Cricetulus griseus: one gene and its partner. The protein of the gene in region 1 purifies or fractionates together with the protein of each later gene. This does not show direct contact. Links are inferred from orthologs where the notes say so. Each region holds a gene or a part of one and is shown in the gene's direction. Other genes may lie near its edges.

The links. Proteins that work in one complex are often made in the same cells at the same time.
Region 2: the proteins of Micall2 (region 1) and Rab8a purify together in Homo sapiens (co-immunoprecipitation; 3 studies listed by BioGRID and IntAct, with this or other methods). This does not show direct contact. The link is inferred for Cricetulus griseus from reciprocal best matches to the Homo sapiens genes MICALL2 and RAB8A.

What each region holds. Positions count from the first base shown.
Region 1 is NC_048597.1:76,377,205-76,383,416, reverse strand, and holds the start of Micall2 (MICAL-like protein 2), read left to right. Parts: upstream 1-2,187; 5' UTR 2,188-2,345; coding exon 2,346-2,488; intron 2,489-2,581; exon of another isoform or gene 2,582-2,600; intron 2,601-4,120; exon of another isoform or gene 4,121-4,293; coding exon of another isoform or gene 4,294-4,299; intron 4,300-5,844; exon of another isoform or gene 5,845-5,876; coding exon of another isoform or gene 5,877-5,963; intron 5,964-6,212. UniProt on the Homo sapiens protein: Effector of small Rab GTPases which is involved in junctional complexes assembly through the regulation of cell adhesion molecules transport to the plasma membrane and actin cytoskeleton reorganization.
Region 2 is NW_023276806.1:246,923,238-246,929,437, forward strand, and holds the start of Rab8a (ras-related protein Rab-8A), read left to right. Parts: upstream 1-2,215; 5' UTR 2,216-2,251; coding exon 2,252-2,375; intron 2,376-6,200. UniProt on the Homo sapiens protein: The small GTPases Rab are key regulators of intracellular membrane trafficking, from the formation of transport vesicles to their fusion with membranes.

The sequences.
Region 1 (6,212 bases):
GATGTGTTTAGAACTCAGACTCTGGCATGGCCTCCCTCTCTTTGCTCACCCTTTCTTCTTGGCAGTTGCCTTCCTTACCAGCTTTTCCGGTTCTTATAACTGCTGTCCCGAGGGCTGGGAAAAACCTGGTTCCGGGACCAGGCTCTGACTGAATGGGCGTGATGCTGCACTTTGTCCCCTTGATGAGAATCCTCAGGCAGATCAGCTGCTTTGACTGGGCAAGGGTTGGGGCCATAATCCCAGCCCACGGGCTTGTGTACTCTGGGATAAGAACCTCGCTGCCCACTCACAGAGGCCCCACACCTGCTGCCTGTACCCAGGTTCTTTCTTGATGCCAGCCCATGGCTTGGGCATGGAAAACCTGTTTTCATCCCTTGTGGAGGGTGTAGAGAAACCACCTGGCTCCAAATCAGATGCTACTTTTGGGAAAACCCCTACCTTCCCAGAGGTCCTGCCTAGACAAGCCCTGGGGCTCAAATGGGAGGTGTCACCTCATTGTTGGTGTCATAGTCTGATCCATCTGACAACATACAGTTCCTGAGGAAAAAACCCATAGCTGGGTGGTTGTGGTACAGGCCTATAATCCCAGCATTCTGGATGCAGGTGGATCTCTGTAAGTTCGAGGCCAACCTGGTCCTCAGAGTGAGTTCCAGGACAGCCAGGGCTACACAGAGAAACCCTGTCTCAAAAAACCAACCAAACAACAAAAACGAAAAATCATAGAGGGCAGCTGCCTGGTTAATTGAGGATCTGAGAGAGGTACTTCCCTTAATCACCCCTGTCATCCAACAGAGGCTTGAAGTAGAAAATAAATAAATAAACAAAACAAAACAAAAACAAAAACAGGAGGCCAAGACTCTCCTGTTTCCACAGAGGCCTTGGGAGAGTCCCCCCACAGCCTCGGGTCCTTTGTGAACATAGAGGAGTTATTCTGGCTGGCTTGGCACCCTGAAGGCGAAGGGAAACCAGGCAGCATTTTAATGTAGCCCAAGTCAACCTTGAACCCCATATGTATCGGAGGATGAGCTTGAATTTCTGATCTTCCGGCCTCTACCCAGTGATTGCTGAGATTCCAGGTGGGTGCTACCTCACACAGTTTATGTGGGCAGTGTTGAGGCTGGAACAGGGACAGTATATGAGAGGCAAGGACTCTACCCATCAAGCCACCCAGCCTCAAACACTGGACAACTTTGTACACCCTGAAACACACACCCACACACCTCATTCTCCTCCGAGGTAGCATTTACCCTAGTCTCTGTTTTCTCATTTGTCAACAGGCCCCTTCCTCCACTATTGCACTGGGGTGCTGGGAAGTGCCTGGCAGTACAGCACTGTCATCCCAGCAACTCCAGAGACTAAGTCAGGAGGATGGCAAGTTCAAATTCAACAGTTAGACCAGCCTGGGCAACTTGGACTCTTTATCTTAATCTTTTTTTTTTTTTTCAATAAAATTGTGGTGGGTTTAGGCTGGAGAGATCAGTCAGTGGTTAAGAGCATTTGCTGCTCTTCCAGAGAACCTGGGGTTTAATTTCCAGGACCCACAGGGCAGCACAACTGGCTCTAACTCCAGTTCGAGAGGAGCAGGGGCCCTCTTCAGGCTTCTTGGGGTACCAGGCCCACAAGTGGCACAGATGCACGTGAAGGCGAAAGCCCATACACATTAAAAAAAGAAAAAGAAAACTGTGGCCAGGGAAGTAGCTCAGCTGGTGGTATGCTTGCCTGGCATGTAGGAAGCCCTGGGTTCCATCCCCAGCGCTGTATAAACCAGGCATGGTGTGGCTCACATAGCCTGTAATCCCAGCACTAAAGGAGGTGGAGGTAGGGGCAGCACAAGCGCAAGGTCACCCTTGCTTATATAATAAGCTAGAGGCCAGCCTGAGCTACAGAGGTCCCCGTCTCAAGGAAAACAAAAAAGAAAACCCCCGGCACCTCAGTTGGGAGTCATGGCTGAAAGCCAAGGCGGGAGCCGCCGCCCAGAGCACCCCGCCTCTATTCTCCAAGTCCCAGGAAGGAGGGTGCGAGGTCTTATATGGGCGTGTCTTTTCTGAGGCGCGGGTGTGGCCTGAGCAAGTTGGGGCGGGGCAACCAGAACAGAGGCGTCTGTGTGGAGCTTCGGGCCTGGGAGCGTGGCCTCCAGGGGGCGTGGCTACAGGGGGCGGACCGAATAGGCGGGGCCTCCAGGGGGCGGAGCCGAAGGCCTCGCAGGCGGCTTCAGTGTGGGGCGCCGGTCGCGCGCTCTTCTTCCAACTCGGGTGGTGGTCGGCGGGTCCGGGCCTCGTCCCCATCACGGCCCGAGAGGGGCCTGTGGCCAGCTCCACGAGCCACCGGCTCGGCCCGCCGCCCCTATGGCGGCCATCAAGGCCCTACAAGAGTGGTGCCGGCAGCAGTGCGAGGGCTACCGGGACGTGAGCATCACCAACATGACCACCTCTTTCCGCGATGGCCTGGCCTTCTGCGCTATCCTGCATCGACACCGGCCTGACCTTATGTGAGTGCTCTTTCACCCATCTGTCCGGCTCTGAGGTGCCGCTGCAAACGGGAAACTGAGGCCACGCCTGCCCTAGAATCTGGGTCAGAGTTTGCAGACACACCCCTCTCAGGTGGGCCACCCGGGGCAGGAGAGAGTACTGCAGGCATAGCCCATTCGGTGGCCCCCAAGGCTGCTGCAGTCAAGTGGCCTCTGTGCAGGCCACCAAGTGCAGCTGGGCCAGGGGCCAGGACGTGGGCTGTCCAGCCGGCTTAGTCAGTGGTGACTCAGGGCAGCGTCCGCCTTCCCCTGGCTCCCTGAGAAAGGGCAAAGGAGCAGCTCCTGGAGGGCCTTCTGAGACCCTGTGCTGTTAGAGGTTTGGAGCCTAAATCAGGATCACTTGAGGCTTCTAGTGGGAATACTGCCTTTCCCCCTGCTTGTCCAGGCGTCTTTGAGAAAGCAATCAATGAGGGAAGCCCAAGCCTTTTAGCACCTTAGGATTTTGGGGGTGGGGTCGGGGGTGGGGGTGACAATGGAGACTGTGCCACCATATCTGGAAGTTGCAGGAGTGAGCAGGGGATGGAGTCTAAAGCCCTCTACCAAAGAAGAGTCTTGGCATAGGAAGTTGGGAAGCAAGCTGGCTCCGTTTTGTTGAGGGACCTTGGTCCACAGCTGATCTGTCAGTAATTCACTCAGCTAACACCTTGGTGGACTGTGTGTTACCAGGACCTAACTTAGGCTAGTGACCTGGAATGGGACAAGATCACCTGTAGCCCATGCTTTTTTGAGAAAAGCTTTGTCCTGAGACATGGTAGCTAGAGTCAGAGTGGCCAGTTTGGGAATGTTTCTCAGGGAGGCCTTGAGGCTGAGTGAGGCTCTAGGCAGCATTTGTGGAGAACTGGTAAAATGAGGCTCAGAAAAGGAAAAAAAGCAAAATCAAAAACAACAAGAAACTCTTGTTCAGGTCACACAGCACAGCAGGCAGAGGCAGGCCTGATACCATCCAGCTCCCTTGTGCCAAGCTTTTCTCTGCTCAGGAAGTGGGAATCTTGAGCAAGAAGTAGTATTCTGCCCTATGGTTGTGAAATATGCGCCCCCTCCCCCAGCCCCAAGCTGCTTGGAGAGGCCCCATGGCACGGCCTCAGTCACTCTCAGGGAGGTGGATGTTGTGAGTTCAGTTGGGCCATCAGTTACATGGCAAGTGGAAAGCTTTGATGGATGTTGGATCAGGGATGTGGACTTGGAACACGGGAATGTGGGTATCCAGGTCTCTGTGGGTGGTGCAGGGGAAGGCTGGATGATGGTCCAGAGCAGGGAGCCTAGATGAGAACTATGACAGATTTTCAGAGGAGGAGACGATGATGTTGGTTTTGGCTGGCCTAGCAGCTTCAGTTGATAACTAGACAGGGACAGGGCCTTTGCAGATACAGGGTTTTCGTCTGCTCTGAGGCAGGGGATGTGTGTGCTCCTGACCCAACACCTAGTGCCCACAGAGGAGGAGAGGTGTGCATGCAGAGGTTTGTGCTTGTGTGTGTACTTGTGTGTACACACATATGTCAACACCAGCAAGTGTCAGATGTTTGCTGGTTTAACTGACAGTTACTGAGTGCCTGCTGTATACTGTATAAGATCACTTCAGCCTCCAATGTGCAGGGAGCAACTTCCTGGTCTCAGAGACAGAAGTTCAAGGTGATGACAGGGAACCAAGAGGCTGTGACAGGAAGGAGGCTGGAGGAAGAGGCGCCTGCTGAGTTCCACCCTGGGTGGGTTATCTCGCACATTGCTGACTTCCTTGCTGTCTGTCCCAGCAGGACTGGAAGCTCAAGATGATGGTGAGTCTCTTAGTTAATGCTATGTGAAAGCTGGCGGTGGGCTTGTCTCCATATAGTTAGAGTCCCACACATAAGGGCATGCTGCTGGAGCTCAGTAGATGTGGTAGATGCTTGGGAGGAGCCTCTGTGGATTTGGAGTTTGGAAGTGACATACTAGGGAGTTCAGGAATGGAGACATGAGCTAAGGGACACTCCGGAGCTCCCAGAAGCTGGGAGGGATAAGAAGGACCCTTCCCTGGAGTGAGTATGACCCTGCTACACATTGACACTGGATACCTGGCCTTTGGGAATCAGAGGACTCATATTCCTTGGTGTGGACATCTGTAATAGCAGTGGTGGGAAGGGAATGGGGATTTTGGCAGAAATTGCAGAAGCCGGTGCAACTCCAAAGCAGTGTTTCTCCACCTGTGGGTCTCGACCCCTTTGTGGGTCAAATGACCCTTTCACAGGTCATACATATCAGATATCCTGCATATCAGATATTTACATTACAATTCATAACAGTAGCAAATTACAGTTAAAGTAGCAACGAAAATAATTTTATGGTTGGGAGTCACCACAACATGAGAAACAATTAAAGGGTCGCAGCGTCAATCACTCTTTTTTTTTTTTTTTTTTTTTTTTTGAGACAGGGTTTCTCTGTGGCTTTGGAGGCTGTCTTGGAACTAGCTCTTGTAGACCAGGCTGGCCTCGAACTCACAGATATCTGCCTGCCTCTGCCTCCCGAGTGCTGGGATTAAAGGCGTGCGCCACAAACACCCAGCCGTTAACCACTCTTCTAAAATGTGGCTGAGTACAGGAGGAGGGTCTGCCATCTGAATCTAAGCCTTAAAATCTCCCAGTGTGGGCTGGCGAGATGGCTCAGTGGGTAAAGGGGCTTGCTGCCAAGCCTGATGACCTGTCTTGGTTCTGCAGGACTCATCCACATGATGGAAGGAGAGTGATGACTCCCCCAAATTGTCATTTTACCTGCACATATGCACACTGTTTTATGTGTCTCCTCCTCCAAATAAAGAAATGTAATTTTTTAAAAAAAGCTCCCCTCCTGTGTCCTGCTGTGCTCTGGCCCAGGTGGTGGGTGGGGTGGGGGTGAAGGATGTTTCACTGTAAAGTTGGGTGACAAATGGAAGGGGAGGAAAAGTATGATGGACTAAGGATACAGAGGGGCTGTCCTCTAAGGAGCTCTGAGGTCAGGTCTTGGCAGGGATGGGATGCAGGTCCCAGCACCCCAGCACTCTAGTTCACTTCTCCTTCCCCTGAAGACCCTCTGGCAGCAGGAAGGTGGGCATCCTGTCTCCTTGTCTCTAGCTTCGCCACCAGGAAGTCCTTTCCTTTGTCTGACCTCAGAGGTTCCTCCTGCCTGCTGAGTGTGCTTCCTGTGGCCCTTGGTGGAGCACAGCTGTGAGGGAGCAAGTCTGGGCATGGGGCCAGCCAGGTGGGGCCAGGCTGCAGGCAGTGAGTTCACGTGTGCTGTGTCCCTGACGTCCCTGACGTCCCTGACCCTCCCACATGGCTAGGCCCACGGGACTGAGAAAACAGGCTTTCCAGTGAGGCCACCTGGGCCAGCTCCCTGCCTCATGCCTCAGAGCCTGGATTTTCCACGGAATTTAAGGGTGCTTGCCCATAAGGACGTTTCCGCAATGAAGCCACCCTGCAGCTGCCAGGTGAGAGAGCCGGGAACCACCCAGCACAGCTGTCAGCCCACTTCTAGTCAGCAGCCCTGCCCCAAGTAGGGAGCTGCGGTGGAGCCGGCTTCCCTTTGGACCTCACTGGGAGCCATAGGGCTCTAGCAGAGGCATGGGGCCAGAGGCATCATAGTATCCTATGGATCTGAGCCAAGAGGTGGGGGAGGTTACTTCAGGGAAGCTCCTCTCTGGCAGGAGAGTCCTGTGGGACCCTGAGATTGAACTCAG
Region 2 (6,200 bases), on another chromosome or scaffold:
ATTTTAATTGCATTTATTTACTTAGCATGTGTCTACCTGTGGAGGCAAGAGAACAACTTGTAGGAGCTTCTTCTCTTCTTCCACCATGTGTCTTCTTAGGGATCAAACTTGTGTCACATCAGGCTTGGCAGTAAGCATCTTTACCCACTGGGGCATTTTGTTGGCCCCTAGTGTTAAACTTAATGCTGCTATCCACAGATTTTATATTTTGGGGAGAAGAGGAAGGGTGGCACAGGACCTATATGTAGAGGTCAGAAGTCAACTTACACGAGTTGGTTCTTCTTTCCACTAAGTGTGTACCAGGAGTCAAACTAAGACCCTCAAGCTTGGCAACAAGTGCCTTTACTGGCTTGGCCACATAGGCAGCTCCTCATCTTGTTAATGTGGCACTTTTCTTTTGTCACTGCTCTCCTGTTACCCCAGGTTCCATATCAACAAACTTTTTAAAGCACATATGACAAACAGCTGGGCAGAGGCCTTAATCCCAGTGTATTTCCCGAGGATCTGATGGGACAGGTATTCTGGCTCTCAGGAGTCACAAAATACTGAGTGTTACACAGCTCAGATTGAAAGGGATCCTGACACAAGTGTTACAGTGCAGCTCACTCTGCTCTGTCCAGGATTGTCTCTGCTCTGCAACAAAAGGTCTTCACCCAAAGCTCGTCCAAGGGGCTTATTTTTGTTTTTGTTTTTGTTTTTGCTTTTTGTTTTTGGAGACAGGGTTTCTCTGTGGCTTTGGAGGCCGTCCTGGAACTTGCTTTGTAGACTGGCCTCGAAACACCACCACCACCCAGCCCAAGGGGTTTATTTAGAGGGAAGAATCCAGGAAGAATCCAGGGTGGCAGAGGACAGCGGGACAGCCCAAACAGCCCCAACAGCCCCAAGCTGAACAGATACAGGGTTTATATAGGAATTCTTGGGGGGGGGGTGGAGATTTCCTAAGGGAGGTGGGGATTGGTCAGATTTCAATCCCTGAACTCAGATTGGCTAGATCTCCTGCTCAGGGATTGCTTAGTTTTCTGCACAGGCTTGTGGTCAGATTTGGCTCTGGTTTCAGGGCCAAAGTGTTTCTTTCACTGGTCTTTTTAGCCTTTTGGCTCTTGTTTTAGGACCAGGGTGTATTTCTTTCACGGGCTCTGATTCTAGGGACAAAGTGTGTTTCTTTCACAAGTTCTTTTAGCTTTTGGCTCTAGTTTTAGAACCAAGGTATATTTCTTTCACTGACTCTGATTCCAGGGCCAAAGTGTGTTTCTTTGGCACTTATTGCAGGGCCAAAGTGTGTTTCTCTGGCTGGCCCTTTTTCCCTACACCCAGCACTCAGAAGGCAGAGGCAGGCGCATCTCTGTGAGTTCGAGGCCAGCCTGGTCTACAGAGCAAGTTTCAGGACAGCCTCCAAAGCTACACAGAGAAACACTTTCTCGAAAAAAACAAAAACAAAAACCCAGAAGGGAAGGAAGTGCCACTGTAAAGCCTGGGAAAGTCACCTCACCTATAGCGTCAGCATACTCAGCCGCTGGTGTGGGGTGAAGGAGCCTGCATTTCCGGCGGGCACAGAACAAACACTGCCATTACACTGATCTGCCACTGTCCTACCAGCGCCTGCCCCCGCTACGGCCTCTGGGATGGCACGCCTCAGGGCCTCGCGTGGCGGGCTCACTGGGGCGAGCCCGGAGGCCTCGGCCGAAAAACCTCCACAAGGGAGTGAGCGCAGTGACTCATGCACTTCCCGCGCTTCGCCGCAGTGCCTAAATGCGACTGCGCGGGCTGCGAAGGCGGGAAAGCTGAGGCGTCCTCCGCGCGCGTGCGCCCTCTGCTGGAGCCAACCGTCTTCCAGCACGCATGCGCATTTTCACCAAGCCCGTCCGTCCCTCGCCGCCCCTAGCGCGCGGAATTGTTGGGGTCCCTCCCGTCAGGGGCGGGGAATGAGAAGGTGGGGCCAGGGCATAGCCACGCCCACCGCCGTTCATTTGAAGCCCCCCCACTCCGACTCTCCATCTCTAGCCAATCACAAATCTCGCTACCCCAAGGGCCAGCCAATGAGCGGCGCGGTGCGGCTGCTTCCGGCTCTGCGCCGGATTCGTCTCTTTGCCCTGAGCTCCCTGCGACGGGCGGGGCTCCGGAGGGCGGGCGTCGGCCTCGGTGACGCGCGGCGGGCCGAGGTCCAATAGGGGGCGGGATCTGAGATGATGGACGGGTCTAGCGGCCAGTGGCGAGGCGCCGGCCGGACTTCCCGTCGGGGAGAGAGTGTAATATGGCGAAGACCTACGATTACCTGTTCAAGCTGCTGCTGATCGGGGACTCGGGGGTGGGGAAGACCTGTGTCCTGTTCCGCTTCTCCGAGGACGCCTTCAACTCCACGTTCATCTCCACCATAGGTAGCGGCGCCTCGGGGCGGCCGGGGACCGGGGCTGGGCGCGCCCCTGTGGGGCTGGGCTGAGGGATCGGCTCGGTATCCACCCGGGCCGAGGATCCGGGAGGGTCGTGGGCCCTGACGGAGGACCGCAGCGGCCTCCGTCTCCTCGAGGGGACGCCGCGAACGAGGTGCAGACGGGAACACTCAGGCTGCTGTCTGAGGGAGAGGCTGCCCTGGGCTGGGGTCCTGGAGCCTGTCAACTCTCTGTCCTCACAGCAGCCCTCGAGACGGTAATTTTGGGAGAGATCCCCGTCTTACAGAAGTGGAAACTGAGGCATGGAAGTGACACCTGACCTCGTGCATCATTCCCTATGTGCCAGGTTCGGCCTGTGCACTATCAAATACTGTAGTGCTCTCGGGTTGGGTGTTGTGTCGCTGAAGGAGGAATTTGAAACTGAGGGAGGGTGTGGCACGCACTGAAGGTCAGTCTACAGGTGTCAGGGTTGAGATTTGAACCCATGTGTATCTGACTCCCAAATTCGAGGCCTAGCTGTCCCAGAGAGGTGCCGCCTTATACCCTCACAGGGCCAGCACCATCAATTAACCTTTAAGTCAGGACTCCAACCCAAAGTCCTGCTGCCCTCTGCCTGAGGAGTGGTGCTAGTACCTGTCACCCTGGTGGAGATGTGAGAAAAAAGTTCCTGTGAGAAACTAAGATCGGCCACGGCCACGTGCAGCCTTGACAGGACACCACCTGTCACTTCCTGAACAGCTTTCCCCCAGGGCTGCCTCACGGTGCAGTTGAACAGAATTGGCTTGTGATTGACAAAGTCCTGATGTCAAAAATGGCACAGACCTTGGACCTGGAAGTAACTCCTGTCAAACAGGGTGGTCTGCATGCTGTATGGCCCTGGAACAAGAGAATGGTGCCTAGGCCTGGTTTATCCCAGGCCAAGCTGTTGTTCAGTTGGTGCAGTCCTGGGGTCCATCCCCAGCATCCTGAAACCAGGTGTGCTGGTAAATAGCTGTAATGACAGCACTAGGTAGGTGGAGGCAGGTGGATCAGGAGTTCGGGTCATCCTTGGTTACATAGACTGTTCAAGGCCAGGTTGAGCTACATGAGTCCTGGCTCAGAAAGAAAAGGAAAACATAGGGAATGATTTCTGTGTAATGTCAACTAAGCTGTATTGTCTCCCTGACCGGACCATTGTGTGCTAATGTCATCGGAACTCTCCTTCCTGGTGGGCACTCTAAAACAGTCAGGTGTCAAGTACAGAAAATTATACCTGGACTCCAGGTGCTGTTCATCCTTGAACAGGCTCTGACCTTTCTTATGTGATTTGGTTTAGAGCAGATGTGGCACTGTCTGTCTTGGCTGGTGCCCGGGGTGGTTGAGGGTTAGCTCTATACAACGAGTGAAGAGGTCCATCTGGGGGAAGCGGAGGGTTTAGACACCCCTGGACACAGGTGCATCTGAAGCTTCTCCCCTCCCCCCCCCAAAACATCCAGCTTTGGAGTCACCCTTAGGTGAGGACCAAGCAGGAAATGACAATAGCTGCCCACAGGCTCTGGCTTGCTCTCAACACAGACCTCAGTTTCCCGGCCTCAGACACTTCCTAGTCACCAACGTATTAGTTCAGGGTGGTTTTCTGTTTGTTTGCTTGCTTGCTTTATTGTGTGTGTGTGTGTGTGTGTGTGTGTGTGTGCTCTTGCATACTCATGCATATATATGAGGGCTGGAGGCTAGAGGTTGACACCAGAGTGAACTGGTTGTCAACAACCAGATCAGTCACTCTCCTTGCTGCTGCTTTTTCTTTTTTCTTTTTTTTTAATTATTTTATTCGGAAGGTAGGTGCATGCTGGTGCACATGTGGGGGTCAGAGGACAATCTGTGGGAGTCTGTTCTTTCCTTCCACCATGTGGATCATTGGGACTGATCTCAGGCTGCCAGGCTTATGGGCAAGTACCTTTACCCACCAAGCCATCTTTGCTGAGTCTCTCACTGAACCTGGAGCTCACTGAACCTGGAGCTAGCCCTAGGACCCTTCTTTCTCTGTGTCACCAGTGCTGGGATTGTAAGTTGATACCACCATGCCCAGGTATTTTTATATGGGTTCGAGGGATCAAACATGTCCCTAGCCCTTGTTTGTTTGTTTGTTTGTTTGTTTGTTTGTTTGTTTGTTTGAAACAGGCTGGCCTAGAATTCACTGTGTAAACCATGCTGTCCTGGAACTCTTGGAAATCTGCCTGCCCCTGTTTCCCAAATGCTGGAATTACAGATATGAGCCATCCTGCTCCACTGGTTTTGTTACATTTATTTTGTGTGTGTGCATATATGCCAAAGTCAGGAGACAACTTGTGGGAGTTAGTTTTTTTCCTTTCACCAAGTGGGCCCCAGGAATTGAACTCACATCATCAGGCTTAGTGGCAAGCACCTTTACCTGATGAGGTTTCTTGTAGGCTCTTGTTTTACATCTCACGTGTGTTTCTCCAGTTTTTCTTTTTGAAGTACTGGATATGGAGCCCAGGTTAACCACATATCTGACCACTGATCATATCCATCTGGATGGTTTGAAACTCTTGATCAGAAAACCAACTTAGTCCTTCGGGGTCCCTGGGAGACAGCCCTCCTTTACAGTGAGGTAAAGGTAGCACTTGAACCAGGATCTCTCCCTCCCCAAATCAGCATCACATTCCCACAGACCTCTGTCTTCTGGGAAAGTTAATCTCCTTGACCTTTAAGTTACGGCCTCATAATTCTGGAGCCTCATAAAGTTTACAGTTCCTAATTCAATTCATATGTTAATAGAAGCTAGGGGAGCTCCAGACCAAAGTGAGTTATACAGTGACTCTGGACTTTTGTGTGTCACTGGGCATGTGTGACACACTGGGAAATGTCTCTGGGAGAGTCTGCCTTGGCTGCTTAGCCCTAAAATTGTGCAGGAAGGTGCATCTGTACTGGAAGCCAGCTGTTCTCGCTGTGTTCATTGATGGACCAGGACTGAGTGGCTTTTTGTTTTCTGGAAGCTGTGGCCCTGTGGTAGGCTGTTCTCCAGAGCTACATGAGTTATTTGTGGTGTGAACCTGGCCCTGCAGCACCCTGAAATCAGTTCTCAAACCAGTCTCAGAACCAGGCCACTCTCTCGGGGCCATTCATTGCTTCAGCAGACACTGTAGCTGTGTTATCTGACCATCTTTCTGTTATTTAAGATAGGGCCTCACGTAGCCCAGGCTGGCCTAAACTCCCTATGTAGCTGAGGATAACATTAAACTCCTAGCCTACCTGCCTCCATCTTCAGAGTTCTGGGATTGCTGGGATACATCAGCACACCCAGTTTTTTGGGTGCTGGAAGTAGAGCCCAGGATACTAAGTAAGCAGTCTACCAAGTGAGCTGCAGTCACAGCCTGTTATTTTTAAAATTTTGGCCACATTTATTTATTTGTGGGTGTTCCTGTCATAGTGCATATGTGGAGGTCAGAGGACAGCCTGGGAGTTAGTTTTCTCCATCCATCATGTTCGGTCCTGGGTCATCTCAGGCTATGTTGCAAGTGTCTTTACCCACTGAGTCATCTCACTAGCTGTGTGTGTGTGTGTCTGTGTGTGTGTGTGTGTGTGTGTCTGTGTCTGTGTCTGTGTCTGTGTCTGGTCTGTGTATGCGTATGAGAGAGAGAAAGAGAGGGAAGGAGACAGGGAGAGAGGGAGAGAGATGCCCAGGCTGCCCTAGGAGTCTTGGGCTTAATCGTTCCTCCTACCTTAGCCTTCCAAGTAGCCTCAAACTTAATTTGTAGCCAAGGCTGGCCTTGAACTCCTCACCTTCTTCCACCTCCAAATGCTGGGATGACAGGT